Caenorhabditis elegans: one gene and its partners. The protein of the gene in region 1 interacts with the protein of each later gene in a pairwise test. Each region holds a gene or a part of one and is shown on either strand. Other genes may lie near its edges.

Region 1 (5,735 bases):
TGAGATGAGGATTGCTGAAACTTGGTAATAACACAAAAAAATCCATGCAGGCGCCAAAATGCATACCGCGCCTGCCTTGCGGCGACCTCCGCATGCCTCGCGCCGCAAGCCGATCTCACTGTATAGTGCGGCGCGGAACCTGAAAAGTGTCGGTCACGGCGAAAGAACCACATTTCGCGTCAGGTCCTGAAACCGCGCCTGCCTCTTATGAATTTAATGGTACAAATACAACTTCAAAGTATCATTATAGTTAGCTTAGCTTCAACTTACTTTGTAATGCTGAAAAATCGATAAATGAAGTGAAGTGCAAGAATCGCGATGGAAAATCCGAAGCAACCAACAAATAGTACTGCAAAATAGCACACACATTGTAAGTTGTGCTTCTCTCTTGAAAACTTACAGTCTAGAACGCAAACTACAAACTTTGGAAACAACGATTCTTTCCAATTGACAATCAAGAAAAATGCCGATTCTTTTGTCAGAAGTTTCTGGCATTTCCAAATTTTTCAAGGCTGCTATTTGCGATTAACTTACCGGTTTTTCCAAAAAATACAAAAAAGCATAAGCCAGCTCGAAAAGATCAATATAAATCATGAGATACTTGTATGATCCTAAGGATTGCGGAGATTTTTTGAGAATGAGGCATATGAGTAGAAAGATGATAGCAATTGCGAAAACGGCCGATGAATTCAGAAAAACAATGTCGTCGATTTTCATATTCCAATCTGAAATGTAAATGAAATTGAAAATGTAATAATACATGAAATTATTTGAAATTCCGTGAAAACGCCCAGTCGAGTACAAAATTTAGATCAAAAATTCACTTCCCACTTACTAGGAAATTGTAGGCAAAAACACTATAACGTCATAATATTCCTCAAAAATGTACAATGTGGATAGTGAATCACGTATCAGTTGGTTCAAATAACAGTGTTGTAGTTCCGGTTTGAAATGTGCCAGATTTCTGGAAAATAACTGATAATAACAGAAAATAACTGTTTTTTTAAAGAAAAGTTAATTTTTTGGAATAAATTTTCATTGACAGCTAAAACTGCAATTTCAGTCACATTTGGAACGGTTGGAACTGTAGTTGAAGGGATATTGCGTTGGGAGTTGGTGATGGATAATGCCAAAGTACTGTAGTAGTACTGTAGGGGTACTGTAGGGTTACTGCAGGGTTACTGTAGTTTAGGAAAATTTGATTTTTCAGCTTTTGAAGGGATATTGCGTTGGGAGTTGGTAATGGATAATGTCAAGGTACTGTAGTAGTACTGTAGGGTTAATGTACTTTGTTTAAGGTTGTGGTGTGATGGTTTTCAAAATTTAATCTTTCAGCATATACGAAAAAACTTAAGCTGTTTTAGAGTAGAGTTCATGTGTTGTTTGTTTGGACAGAAATAGGTAAAGTGATAAAGTTGTATTTATATAAGAAACAAATCCTGTAAATCATGTATTCGTCACGGGTGTTGAAAATTCAAAAAAATATTCATTTATTAAATTGCAAATAGACATCAATATAATTGAAAAATCAATTGTTTCGCTGAATGTTTTGAGCGGTGAGCCCTGAAACCAAAGAAGTTCCTCCATCGGCCACAATCGACTGTCCTATTATGTAAGAAGATCTCTTGCGATCCGCCAAAAAAATAATAAGCTCGGCGATGTCCTCAGGCTTTCCGCAAACTCCTGCAGGAATGCAGGCTCTGTTAGAAGTGAAGTTCTCTTCGATCTAAAATTTCTATCAAATTTACAGCAATCATGGAACAATTTCGTTTACCTGTTTCTGGACCTGCTCCGACATTCCCATTGCCCCCAGAAACCCGGACGTGACGACACCCGGGCTCACTGAATTAACACGAACCCCTTGCAAGATGAGATCAAGTGCCACGCAACGTGTGTATTGGTCTAGGGCGGCTTTGGAGGCTGCGTAATAGGGGGATGGAGCAAGCTGAAAATATCCGGTTTTAGTTTGGTAGAAATTTATGGAGCAACAAACCGCCTGTGGTCCTGCAGCTACACTGGAGACATTCACAATTTCACCTTTCGATTCGATCAGGTGATTTTTGGTTTTTTTCACCATCTCGATGACGGCTTCAAAATTGATTTGAAATGTTTTATGGTACAGCTCGGTAGATTGATCAGTGTTAAAGGTACCGTCGACCACATTGGCACCGGCGTTGTTCACCTGGAAGGTGAGAAAAAGTGTTTAAAAAAACTGCGGTCAGAGATGCGCAGTACATTTTTTAAGCACATGTACAAAATCGAGCAAAAATGACTACATAATATTTGACGCGCAACATTGGATCTCTAATGATTTAAACAGATAAGCATACCTTCACTTACCAGTACATCAATCCTCCCAAAAGCATCGAGCGCCGATTGCACAATCTCGTCTTGCCCATCAGAATCCGTCAAGTTCGCCACGACAACACACACATTCTCCGGATTCTTCATGACCTTCAGCATCTTTTTCTTGGTAGCCTCGAGTTTTCCAGCATCTCTACCAGTGATTGTTACCTGGGCTCCATATTTCGCAAAGAGCACCGCAGTGGCTCGACCAATTCCACTTGAAGATCCTGTCACGATGACAGACTTTCCAGAGAAGCGGTTCATAGAGAAAAGGTAAAGAATAAGTATGAAAGTGATATTTTTGAGCTGCTCTCCAACATCTTTTATAGTTTTGGAAAATGTGTCGGAGGGGGACAGCGTCTGTGACTAGAAGGTATAAAGCTGAATGTGTAAGCACATGCGTTGGACGTCTGTGTCTCTTTTTGTGCTTATCTCTCAGTGTGTCAAAAAATCTATGACCAAAAGGGTTCAGGTTACTCATAATTACTTAAAAATATATCAAACTTATATAAAATATAAAAATAGTGCAAGTTTTTAAAATTTTCCGCGAAAACTAGAAAACTTATTTTATTGTGAAAAAATTTGGGCGAATGTTCAAAGTTTCAGGGGTAAAAATTCCTGGGAATTAAAAAAAAGACGGGAAATTCGCATTTTCATTGCAGTTTTTTTTAAAGGGAAATTAAAATTTTCAGTCCATTTCTTTGGCGGGAATTCAAATCTTCATGTTCTGAGAAAAGTATTGGTGCAAAATTCACATTTTCTAAGAATAAAATATAAAAAATTGTTTTTTAAACTTTTTTTTTCGAATCTCGACATCTAGATAACTTTGAACAATTTCGGATAAATTTCTGAAAACTTCTAGATGTTTTTTAAAAAGTTCCCCTACTTTTGATCTTTCTTCAAAAAATGATTTTTTTTCAGTGACTCATAAACGTAGACTACCTAACTGCCTAACAACTCTTTTCAAAAGACTACAAGAGCAAACACAAAAGTTCACCAGTGGCACAAACAGATACTATGCCAATACTATGGGCACCTAGTATATAAATTGAGGAGACACTTTACCAAATCACTCCAAAATGAAGTCTTACCTTTCAATTATTGCTCTGTTCGCTGTAGTTTTTGCCGATTTCGACGGACCAATGTTCTTGAGATATCAGCCGAGAAATATTCAACAGTCTTATTTTGCAATTGCTAAGAACTATCAGCTAAGTCAGATGCAGAAGAACCAGCAGCTTCAGCAATGGGCTCAGATGAATAATCTTTCGGTGAGTTCTCTGAAATTTTGAATTTTTTAAATTTGAAAATAAAAATCTGAAATCACAATAATTTTCCAGAACGAATACTCCAGCTACACACAACAACGGAGCCAACAAGAGCAACAAGTCAGCCAGCAGACTTCTCAAATAATTTCCCAGTTATCAACAGTTCAAAACCAGCTTGAATCCATTCTGAACAACGATAATCAAACGGGAGCTCAGAAGCGACAGGCTATCCAGTCTCTTAGATACCAGTACCCTCAAGAAGTTTCAGTTTTGTTCCACATTCGGGAAGTTTCCATGAAAAGAATGGGAATCGATGATGACCATGATGACAGTTATGAATCATTTTAAGTTTTTGAAGTTTTTTTTTTCTAATGAATGGTTTTAACTTTAGAGGACACATAAATGGAATTAAAAGCGGTATTGTTTTTGTTGAAAAAATTTTAAAAACAGCCTCAGGATATTTCATGAAAGATGTAATGTGTCAAAAAAAAGTGAAATATCGGACCGCTTCCTAGGTTCCTATAATTGTTAAAATATCCAAAAATTATTGTAAAAATTTTCAGAAATTAAAAAAAATTAAATTATAGTCAAAAAAAAAGGTAAAAACTCAGTCTTCAAGTATTATAATTTTACAATTCATTTTTGAAAATCTTGGGAAAATTCCAAAAATTTTCGACATTCAGAAAATTGTTTGAACTTTTTTGAAAACTTTTTCACCAAAATAAACATCATTCTAAAGTCATCTAAATGTTTTTAATATTTTCTCAAATATTTGTGAAGTTATGTAGATTTTTTCCTTTAGTTTTTCCATTTTTCCATTAACAATTTGTTAAAAAACTGTGAAAAAATATCAATTAATTTTTTTTCTGAAAATTTTCAAAACTAGAAACTGAATTTTGTAAGACCTTCTTGAATTTTATAAAGTAACATTAAACAATTATATGTCAATCTTTGAGTAAATCTGCAAGATGTCGGCTGCGAGCCTTATCAAAATCCAACCTATAATGTGTCGGCCGCTCATAATTCTATGTTCCTGATTACTATGGTTTCTGCTCAGTGTTTCGCTGAGTTTTCTGAACTTTTAGCCAATTTCTCTATTTGTTGCAGCTCCCAAAACACGTTGTTTACCGCAAAGTCTAGCCAGAGTTCAATGTTTTGAGTGCATTCTCTTGATTCTTCAGTAGCCTTTTAAGCTAGCAAATATGTCGTGTGTAACACGATTTTCATACGTCACGGAATACATGGTATTTAAGGACAATGTTTTTGAATCAAAAATTATCAAAGCTTATTTGAAGACATGGCCTCCTATTTTATCCTCGCTGTTCTGATTGCTGTGACTGCTGCTGCTAGTTACAACAAACCAAATTTCGTGAAGGATTTGCCAGATAACATGCAAAAGTCCTATGCTACAATTGTACGCAATTCCCAGCTGACAAAACTTCAAAAGGATGAGCAGCTTCAACAGTGGGCTCAGACCAATAATCTTTCGGTATGTTTAGATTGCTGAAGAAATTTCAAACTTTTAATTTTAGGATCAGTACACTGCATATACCAAGAAACAACAGGATAATGAGAATTTCATGAGCAAAAACACAACACAAATCATCTCCCAACTATCTTCAGTTCAAGCTCAACTTGAAGCGATTTTGAGCAACAAAAATCTCACTCGCGATCAGGAGGAAGAAGCCATCGACTCACTTGAGGAGCAATACTGGCAAGAGGTTCCAGTTCTGCTTTTCATCAGAAAAATGTGGAAGAAAGCTATGGGAATGAAGGTTTAGAGGCTTAGAAGCTAAGCACCTAAAATTTTAATTTATTTGCGATTAATAAATTTTTATACGACTTCAGATGTCCCGTAAATTTACACAAGACTCTATAAATCTACACAAGGTTTTGTAAGTCTACAGCAAATACTGTTAATCTAAGTGTAAAAAATTCAAAAAATCAGCTTCATTTGAGCCAGCGTTGCTTCAGTTTTTCTTAATTTTTTTTAAATAAGTGTTCTGGCTGAAAAACGAATAAATTTGCAGACAAAAAAGCGTAAATTCAAAAACCATCTACGTACAGTTTTTGGAGAAAAAACTTCGATTTTATTGAAAGAATAGGTTACAACTTTTGTCGCTA
Region 2 (5,431 bases), about 10 Mb from region 1:
ATGTCATACGTGATGGGTTGATCGTAGTTGAAGAACTGGACTCTGATGTAACACAGAAAACGGGCAAACCAATAAGTTCAATGAAACATTGACATGAAACATCGAGATGGAAGACGCAGGATGAGAAACATTGAAAATAGTGTTGGTTTCTACGTGATGAAGACGAAAATGGAGAATTAGAGAAGAAATACGTTAAAATAAGCTTTTTCTTGTTTAGAAACCTTCAGAAAAATAGAAATAACTTTGCATTTATTGAGTTGTGAATTAGTCCGCTTTCTTACTTTGAAAATAATTTACTTCGAAATAGGATTCTGCACGGGCAAAAAACATCAAAAATGGTTAATTTTTGTTTTCATAGGATATTTTATTGACTGTTTCGTTGTTTGAACTTCAAAAAGTCGCAATATGCATGTGATGTTTTTTAGGATCGAAACGCTCTGGATCTTATTTTAGTTGATTATATCTATTCGGCGATTTTCAAAAGCAATAATATAGATTTTTTTTTAAATTTTAATCAGTAAAACAAATCTGAAAAATTCCAAAACTGGGAACAAAATCAACAAGTAGAAAAACAACGGCATTCAACAATAGAGATCTAGAAGAAACGCGAGATTACAGTATCACAACAGAATGTTTGCTGAAACCACTAGTGTGAATTTTTCGTGGTTGAATTTGGATTTGGCTGTGGACGGATTGATGTGAAATGGGAGTCCGAAATCATAAAGGCTGCGACTTTTATCCAACGTTACCAAGCATCGAGTGGGGTTGAGTTGGAGTTCTAGTCTGAAAAATATTAAGCTTTTAAAAAAAGCTTTCAAGTTATCAATTTTAGGTTTTTCAAAATCAGGTATTTTTTGCTTCTGCTTCTTTACGTACAAATTGGAAATTAGCTTTGTAGCCTCTTATGGATTAAAAACTTTTATACAGTTTTTCACACCTACAAACTTATCAATAATAAGTCTTGCACGTAAAACTAATATAGATAATAATGAAGTCTGTGTTTTTGAGAATCTTGAGAAATTCTAGACGATTTTGGAAAATTATTTATCATCGGGTAGAAATTAAATTACGATACATTTTTTTTAATGTTACGGCCTGTGGGGAAATGATTAAACACCATTCCTGCGGTGCTAAAACTGCGAAATAAATATAACTGTTGGAAAAATTTTGGAAATATGTTTATTTCGAGTCAAAAACTCAATTTTCACGAATTTTCTGAAAGTCGATTAAACAATTTGTCTTCCAATTTTATGTTTTAATTATGTTCAAAATATTCATATTATTACATTATAGGGTTCAAACATCCGACAGTAATTTAGATTTTTTTTTAAAATAAAATAAAAAAATAAAAATTTGTCAAAATGTTTTTTTTTAATTTATTATGAAATTTCGACATTTTAGCATAATAGGGATGGATTTCAATCATTTCCCCACTGGCCATAGTCAACATTTGAAATTGAAAGAAAAATCGATGATTTTAATTATGTGTTCACACTTTTTGAAAACTCAACTCGCATTTTGATTGTTTATATTTCAACTGAATTTAAAATAATGTACCCACCTTCTAGGATCTTTGATTGGTTCGCCATTAAGTTCACATCGCATACTGATTTCGAGTCTGTCACCATCAAAAAGTCGTATTCTTGTTCCATCAATGTGTTTCAGGCCAAACATCTAAAGGAGACATTTTAAAGTTAAAATTATTGTTGCAACAAAAATAACTAACCTCATTTTTCATTTCAGCAACATCATCATTTCCAACTTGCTTTTTTTCTTCTTTCTCCATTCTAACTTTATCTTCCTGATACATTTCTTCGACAATCTGTTTTTCTGGTTTTTTGTGAATTTTTTGTACTTCAAGTTCTCCAACTGAAACACGATTGCGAAGAACGATTGGTTTCAATGGGTCTAAGTCAATGGAGTGCTGAATTTAAGAATTATGTTATTTCAATTGATAAAATTTCAACTGACTCTATCCTTCACAAGATCGCAGAAAATTAGACAAAGGAGATGACGGAAGAATGCGTCATTTGGAGACGCTAGTCGTTTTTTATAGAATGTGCTGTTTACCAAAACATCAATCTAAAAACATTTCATACTAACAATCAAACATTTATAATTAAACTACCTTGATCGAATTTTCATCACTATGATCTTTCACGCAGTCAATTTCGCCAACACTCATCGGAATTCGAAATGACGGATTTCCAGCATCTAATTGAGCAGCAATTTCATCCTTTAAAAATAGTTGATATTACGGAAATAATTTCAAAATACCTACTTGATCAAAATCGTCGATTGGTGGCGGTAATTGCTCGCAATGGCATACATTTACAAAACACTTTCGGTATTCATCGTTTACAATTCCATTGATTTTTACATCCTTCCATTTACACACATAACCTGGAAGTGGTTTGATGAGCCACGTTTCCGCTTCCTCCTTTTTTTCAATTTTAAGATCCATCTGAAACAATTTCAGTATTTCCAGATATACGAAACCAAAAAGTATGCAAACGAGTTTTAACATTAAGTTTGTAAATCAAGATCAGGATCAATGACAAAAAATAGTTTATGATAATGAATTAATTGAGGCACTATACTCATAAATAATGATAATAAATTACTCAAGTATTTAAACTATTCACAAGAAGACACGACGTTAGAAAATGGCAAGAAGGGCGAAAACAGAGTAGAGAAGAACACACGGATATGCAACGAGAAGACGTTGGTGATCCATTGACAAAGCGATTACAAACAATTTTGATGAAGCAGAAGAACACCAAAGGACAGCAAGCGACGATATAATATACCCGATAATGCCCTTGAATGATAATACAGCTGTAACAATGCTCAGAAGAGCCATTGGAAGTAGACAATATCCAAGAACTGATGCGGTGCAGGTGAAGGAAATATTTTTCTCGTCCGTTGCCATGAGATTCATGAGGGCATAAATTCCAACGCATCCAAGTCCGCCAACTCCATAGATAAATCCAAACGAGAGTTTGCCGTGAAGAAGAAGAGCGGCTCCAAAAAGAAGACAGAAGACGAGAGGTCCAGCAAGATCTTGATCAGCAATAACTTCGACAGTTGCAGATCCAGTTGGATTTAAAACAGCAATAGTTTTCTCCTTGATATGTGAGAAGTTAATTCCGAGTTCTTCCAAGAGTGGTGGCTCATTTTCATAGTCTTCGCCATCAGCAGCAACACCGGCGTTTGGAATTGCTGAAAATTGTAGAATTAAAAATGCATTTCAGAATGAAGAATTGATATAAATATATATGTACCTCCCGTCCCGTTGTTTGGCATGAACATTTGTCCTCCATAATAATTGGTTTGTGGTTGTTGATATTGTTGATTTTGTTGATAGTAGTCGTTTCCAGCTTCTGAAGGTGAAATGATATTCAAGAAATTTGTTTAATTACAAATAAATCTCACGCTGCGGTGGCTGTTGTGGCTGCGAGTAATCAAATTGACCCCAACCCATGTCTTGTTGATTTGTTTGAGTGTTCCATCCTCCTGAAAATTATAAAACTATAAACATTATACTTTAAATAAAAATACCCTGTTGTTGTTGTCCATCATCCATCCAAAATCCATTCGACATATTGAGAGTATAATCAAAAATTTATTGAAATGATGTGGCAAATGAAGAGATTTTTCGTTGTAACAGTGAAGCAGTAGAGCGCACTTGTGTCGCGGCCTAGAAATGTTTGAACGAACTCTGGTCCGTGTACTCCTCTTGGACAACTTAATCTTGAGTGAAATCTTCCTGCGCTGAACCTGCTTTTAATAAATTTCAACACTTAGCTTCTTGGTAGTATCAATAAATTATGTCTTCATTATATGCATTGCTCCGCCCGATTAGAATCAGCTCATCGAACTTTCAAAAATGTGTAAGAAGTCTTGGAACAACGTCAAAGTGTAAGCGATTTATTTCAAATTTCAAATTATTGTTTCCATCTGAGTTTCAGGCAACGTCGAAGTTCTACCATTGTCAAAGATTGATAAAGATGACTTGGGACACTCCATTCTAATCCACAAGGGAACATTACCTCCCGGATCACAAAAAACTCCTCATGATGTAGTCGCGATGGGTGTGAAAGGAGCTAAAGTTCGTTCAACGGAGCATGTTCTTTTGTCTTAATCAAAAATTCAGATTCTGTCACTGTCTTCATCTCTTGCCGGAGTAGTCATGGTTCCCGTGCTATCCTCCTATTTGTGGGAAGCAGCTGCTGAAAGACCTTCGATGATGATGTTTGCAATTGGTAAGAATTATCTCTATTGAAGAACGGATTATTTCAAATTTCATTATTTTCAGTGGCCAACACCTTCCTCGTCCTGCTATCTTTCACTCCGCTACTACTTCATTTTCTTGCAAAACGATTTCCCATCGACATATTTTACAATAATGACAAAAAGGTAGTGCATGACCATTTTCTAATCCATTTCAAAAACATTTTAACAGGTGTTCACAACTGTTCATTACAATTTCTTAATGCAAAAACAAGCATTGAGATTCTCAGCTTCTGAAGTTGTCGATGCAGCCGTAGCTCCCGAAATGAAGAAAGTATGGATCCCTCTGGCAACAGCTTTTGTGGGCAAGCGGCCGCTTCTCATTTCCCTTGATCGAAATGCATATCTTGACAAATTGGCATTTGATGACCTCACAAAAAATGTTCACATTCCACCAAATCACGATTGAGAATTTTTATTCCTTGTTGATAGGTAGCTTTCTATTCAGTTGTTTTTTATCGTTATTGTTCAATAATTGAAAGATTTTCTTACAATTTATCAATGATTCGGGAAATCTTTTCAGTAACCATATTTAGTTGTTGAGATAAATCTGTTCCGCTTTGATTTTTGATAACTAAGTTGAATTTGTAGTCGTCAAGTCCACATTCAGATTCGGCATCATCGACACCTTCGACAAATTGGTAGCCTCGTTGTTTTCTATCCTCTTCACTTGTCTCGATTCGAATCGTTACAGTTCTGTAGTTGGCACTGAAATATTCATAGTCTGTCCTTCGTCGGCAGTCGGATATAATAACTATGTCGCTGTCCATTGTTGAACTGATCGCCGCTCTTAAATACTATAATTTGTCAAATACAATTTCAAGTTTCCAACAACCTGCAAAACAATCCGGAATCTTTACATCTCGCTTCTTCTCCCCACTGGATCATATCTTTTCTATACAGCTCTTTGTATGGCCCGTCAGTTAGAAGTTCTTCATACTTTAAACCTGAAAAATCCTATTTTCGAATGATCAAACTCTACTTTCAAACAAAGCACCATGTTTCTTAGCAAATTCCATTTTCAGGCTATGTGAAATACCCGCAACTGAAACATCAAATCGCTTTTGCACCAATACTTCTCTGATCAAGTTTGTACAGTAATCTTTTCCAGATTTTCGTTTACCGGATATGGCTATCA
Region 3 (4,163 bases), on another chromosome or scaffold:
ACGTTTTGCCGTCTTTTTTGGCCTTCTTCTCGGCTGGAGCAGAGGTAGAAGAAGATGGAGAACTAGTTGATGTTGCTTTCACACCATTTTTCTTGTTCTTGGCTGCCTGTTCGGCAATGCTCTTCTCGAGAATCGACTTCCGGTATTTGAGCTTATCGTTCAATTTCTTGGCATCGCCGAGTTCCGGAATATGTTCCAAAAGTTCGTCAGTAAGCTCTCCCTTTTGCATGGCAGTTATGAGACGATTCAGAAGCGCAGCTTGGTCGGACTGAAATGATAAAAAAAACTTCCACATCTTGTGAATTAAAACTCACCGCTGCTGAGTAGTCAGAGTATCCTTGTTGCAGCTCTTTATTGGCTGACATTTTGTAAACCCTGAAAAGCACACTGCTGGAAATAAATTTGAGAATATCAAAGAAGATATTTAACAGGCTTGCTGCACTGAAAATTACAAAATAGTCAATTACTTTAATTGTAACAATGTAAATTTCATGTAAAAGAAAATTCGGTCTGACAAATCAGAATAAGATCAAATTGAGTGAAGATTGGAAAGAGATAAAAAACAGTAGAACAAATAGAAAACGGATCAACAAATGAAATAATCAATAACTTTCAGTCGCGGATTAGAAGTCAGTCTTCTTCATGAGAAGGTACAGATTCATGTCGACCTCGAAACCATGCAAATTGATAGCCTCGCCCTTCAAACGCATCAGTAGACCGCCAAACGAAGCATAAGCAGCGAGCTTTCCGCCGTCAGTTCCAGTATCATCGTCTTCCAAGCGGTAAACTTTTCCGTACATCACATATTCATACTGTTTGATTCTTGGGTATTCTGCCTGAAAGGGAAACGATTGAGTTACACAATAAGTGAAATGTAGTTTTCAATTTCAGTTATCTAATCAGTTATCCAAGTCAAAACGAGACAGGTAGTGCAAACATATATTTAAAAAATGTAAAAAGATAAAAACTCACTTTTGGATCATATTCTCCTTCATCGGCAAGTCCGTCTTCTCGGAGTGTAGTGGCCAGAACAAGACGAACTTTGTCGTTCTGCTTCAGTGGATAGATCTGCGAGTTGATATCAATGATAAGCTCCATTCTAAAAAATTTTCAATTCTCATAGTCAGTAAAAAAGTTAATGTTAAAATAATCTCACTTGAAAGACTCAGCATCGCAGAAGTATCGAGAAACTCTGTCGAATTTTTTGCCGTCTGGATCCACGCTTTTCACTTTGAACATATCGTCGAAAATAATTCCAGCCATTTTCTAAAATAAAGAAAGTTTTTATCATAAGAAACAGCAATAAGCAGTTGGTAAACAAGAAAAAATTGAGGAAAGAAACTCGAAGAAATGGAAAACCGAAACAAAAAACTTAAAGGTGCAAACATTTACGCGCGCGGGTTTCGCAACGATTCTCTCTTTTTTGCGCGGGCATTCAAATTGGGGTTTCCGGGGATATCTAAAAATGGGAGATGAGCGAATTGCAATGTTCCAATGTCCATGAATATGTTCATGAATATATTCAGTATGTCAATCTTGAATCAAAGTTTTATTTTGTAAATTTTAAATCTTTGCTGATAATAAGGCTCATTTACAAATGTCATGCCACAAGGAACAGTTTCAAAACCAAATTCGCGAAATAACCAATAAATTAAACTAAAATTTGAATGTTGCCGACTCCTGAGTATGTCCATCAAAAATGAATGTGTTATCAATGGGAACATATTGATTGGTAGCCAATTTGATAATCTCTTGAGCAGCTATTCCACCGACGTACGATGAAATGACATGTAACTCCGCAGCACCAAAACGACAAATTTCAGCGATAGCAGTGTCTGTCACTTTATTTGAGATTGATGTGAAGTCCTGTTCATCCTAAAATTTGTTAATAGTTTTAATTTCACTAACGAATGTAATAAACCTTCAAAGCTTCTCGAATCAAAACTTCAACTCTCTTCTTCAAATCTTGAGCATCAATTGAAACTGGAACTCCATTAGTTCCTGGGTAACGTCCTTTTTCTTTTTGGAACCTTCCAACTGCCCTCATCAGTAGCATCCACGTGGCTTCATCAACTTTCTGATTTCTAGTCTCTTCATCAATATTGCTTTCACGAATTTTCTCAACAATTGCTTTGGTTTCTTCGTTGTAGTCAAGCACATCGCCATACTGAACTCGAATCCGATCAGCGTTCTTACAGAAACGATAGCAAACGTCATCCGATATGACGTCACCAACACCTCGTTCCTTCTCTACTTCACGTGTCAAACGAAGCACTTCCTGAGCATCTGAAAGAGCTTTTTCGTGGAAAAGAGTTGCGAGGCGAGTGTATCGAGAAGAATCAGAAGTCATATCAGGAAGAGTTCCACGAAGAGGCAGAAGATTATTATTCTCGGTGACAAAACGACGAAGAGCTTCACAGATTAACCAGAATGGGCGTGTCGATGTTGAACATTGTGGAGAAGAGAGAATCGATTTTACAGAAGAACCAATCTGAAACTTACTAGAAATGAGAATCAATTTGGATAATTTATCAAAAACTTACCGTAGTTCTTTGAAAAGCTCGAATAACCGCCGCTTTCGCCTCATCAAAATTCTCAGAATCCTTGGTTCCGGATTCTTCACTCGAACGTCGGAAACTCATAAGAATCGCCTGAAGTTCTTTACGTTCCGCAGTTGTAGATGGGAACGCTTCAGGATCATTTCGTTGCTTTCTGAATACTTCGAGAGCTGAAATTAAGAAGGTAAATAACAGAATACAACCATAATTGCGAGAAAAACCTTTGAAGTGAAGAAGAATATACGGAGTATGGCGGAGTTGTTCTAGAGTCATTTCATCTAGATTTGTTTCATTGATCATTTCAATAAGCTTTGAAAATGGAGCATCCAATCTGAGAAATAAAAACTTTTTTGGAAGTTTTCATGTATATTTTACCGTAAATCAGGTCTCGGATTCTCTTCGTGTGAGTTAGCAATTGTGTGTTCTTTGATGCAGATTCGAATGGTACCAATTAGTCCAAAAGTTCTGAATTTTGGAATTTTAACTGCAAGAACTTCAAATTTTGAAAATATCGTACTTGATACAGATGAATGGAACTCTAATATTATACAAAACTTTCGCGAACGTCGTATCAATTTCTTCATTTTGATTTGCAGCAACAACCACAGAAAACGTTGTCAGCTTTTCCACATCTTCCATAGCTAACGCTGTTGGTGGCTGACTACTTGCACTACCAGAGACTGATGGATTCAGTTCGGTAAGCTTCTCCAATGTTGCCTCGGCACGAGAACGTCCAATATCATCTGCATGGAGGAAGAAATTCTGACCGATGTCAGCTTGTTCAACTTTGGCGTCATCAACGACATAGAATGATTGAACACCGGCGAGAACCAACGATTTCAATATTTCTGTTGCTAAAAATATTTAGATTGGATTTTTAATTCAATTTTTTCAAAAATACCTAGCGAATCGCTTCCAAGAACACATGCACTTGTTGAACCAATTGATGCTTGTCCTTCTTCTCCCCAAAGTCGAACTTGACGATCGTATCTAGTGGATGGGTCAAATGGTAGCATTTTCTAAAATTATACAAGTTGGAAATCTGAAAATTTCGTTTTGGTTTCTAAACAAAAATATACATTATGAAGAGTTCACAATCAATTAATATAAAAAATTATAAAGAATCTCAAAAAAGAAAAATATATATAGACAAATCTGATATTTATGGCAAGATTATTCAATAAAAATTTTACACGAAGTGTATGGCGAGTTTCACAAGAATGATAACTACATATTTATAAAAAAAATTATTTTTTCTCGTGAAGAGATTTACGATCCCATTTCAAATTGGTGAACGAATCGGGGCGAAGATATGTCAGCTCTTCGTTCTTGTTTCTCATGCAGGCAGTACGACCGAGAACAAATAGAAGATCGCTCATTCTGAAATTGATATTTCTTACTAACGATGAATCGATAACCATAGTACCTATTCAAGAACTTTAATGCCATTGGATCGACGTCTTCGTCTCTCATAAGTGGAACAATACTCCGTTCAGCTCGACGACAAATTGCGCGGGAATACTGTAATTGAGCAGACGTCATTCCACCGCCAGAAAGAATAAATTGTCGGATTGCAGGCAACGCGTCTCCGTATCGATCGATTTC

The links. The genes of interacting proteins can lie anywhere in the genome.
Region 2: the proteins of srlf-35 (region 1) and F32D8.4 interact in a two-hybrid assay, tested with the Caenorhabditis elegans proteins (one large-scale study listed by BioGRID).
Region 3: the proteins of srlf-35 (region 1) and rpb-8 interact in a two-hybrid assay, tested with the Caenorhabditis elegans proteins (one large-scale study listed by BioGRID).

What each region holds. Positions count from the first base shown.
Region 1 is NC_003283.11:500,614-506,348, forward strand, and holds srlf-35 (SXP/RAL-2 family protein Ani s 5-like cation-binding domain-containing protein), read left to right. Parts: upstream 1-3,414; 5' UTR 3,415-3,425; coding exon 3,426-3,614; intron 3,615-3,683; coding exon 3,684-3,959; 3' UTR 3,960-4,019; downstream 4,020-5,735. Other genes in the region: str-256 (Serpentine receptor class r-10), read right to left, coding at 1-14, 271-349, 401-488, 535-717; T01G6.10 (DeHydrogenases, Short chain), read right to left, coding at 1,529-1,726, 1,775-1,945, 1,994-2,182, 2,341-2,610; srlf-19 (SXP/RAL-2 family protein Ani s 5-like cation-binding domain-containing protein), read left to right, coding at 4,909-5,100, 5,144-5,392.
Region 2 is NC_003283.11:10,891,097-10,896,527, forward strand, and holds F32D8.4 (PIH1 N-terminal domain-containing protein), read right to left. Parts: upstream 2,465-5,431; coding exon 2,282-2,464; intron 2,237-2,281; coding exon 2,129-2,236; intron 2,083-2,128; coding exon 1,972-2,082; intron 1,925-1,971; coding exon 1,727-1,924; intron 1,675-1,726; coding exon 1,562-1,674; intron 784-1,561; coding exon 621-783; 3' UTR 501-620; downstream 1-500. Other genes in the region: F32D8.14 (Protein YIPF), read right to left, coding at 2,660-3,222, 3,285-3,383, 3,436-3,516, 3,562-3,604; F32D8.5 (Transmembrane protein 70 homolog, mitochondrial), read left to right, coding at 3,831-3,921, 3,966-4,111, 4,157-4,265, 4,319-4,419, 4,466-4,702; F32D8.13 (Phosphomevalonate kinase), read right to left, coding at 4,709-4,733, 4,786-5,082, 5,129-5,240, 5,291-5,431.
Region 3 is NC_003281.10:4,916,743-4,920,905, forward strand, and holds rpb-8 (putative DNA-directed RNA polymerases I, II, and III subunit RPABC3), read right to left. Parts: upstream 1,267-4,163; 5' UTR 1,264-1,266; coding exon 1,157-1,263; intron 1,100-1,156; coding exon 973-1,099; intron 837-972; coding exon 624-836; 3' UTR 501-623; downstream 1-500. Other genes in the region: rars-1 (putative arginine--tRNA ligase, cytoplasmic), read right to left, coding at 3-268, 315-365; ula-1 (NEDD8-activating enzyme E1 regulatory subunit), read right to left, coding at 1,657-1,875, 1,922-2,497, 2,544-2,728, 2,780-2,889, 2,934-3,023, 3,076-3,412, 3,460-3,574; mmab-1 (Corrinoid adenosyltransferase MMAB), read right to left, coding at 3,806-3,938, 3,985-4,163. UniProt on the Caenorhabditis elegans protein: DNA-dependent RNA polymerase catalyzes the transcription of DNA into RNA using the four ribonucleoside triphosphates as substrates.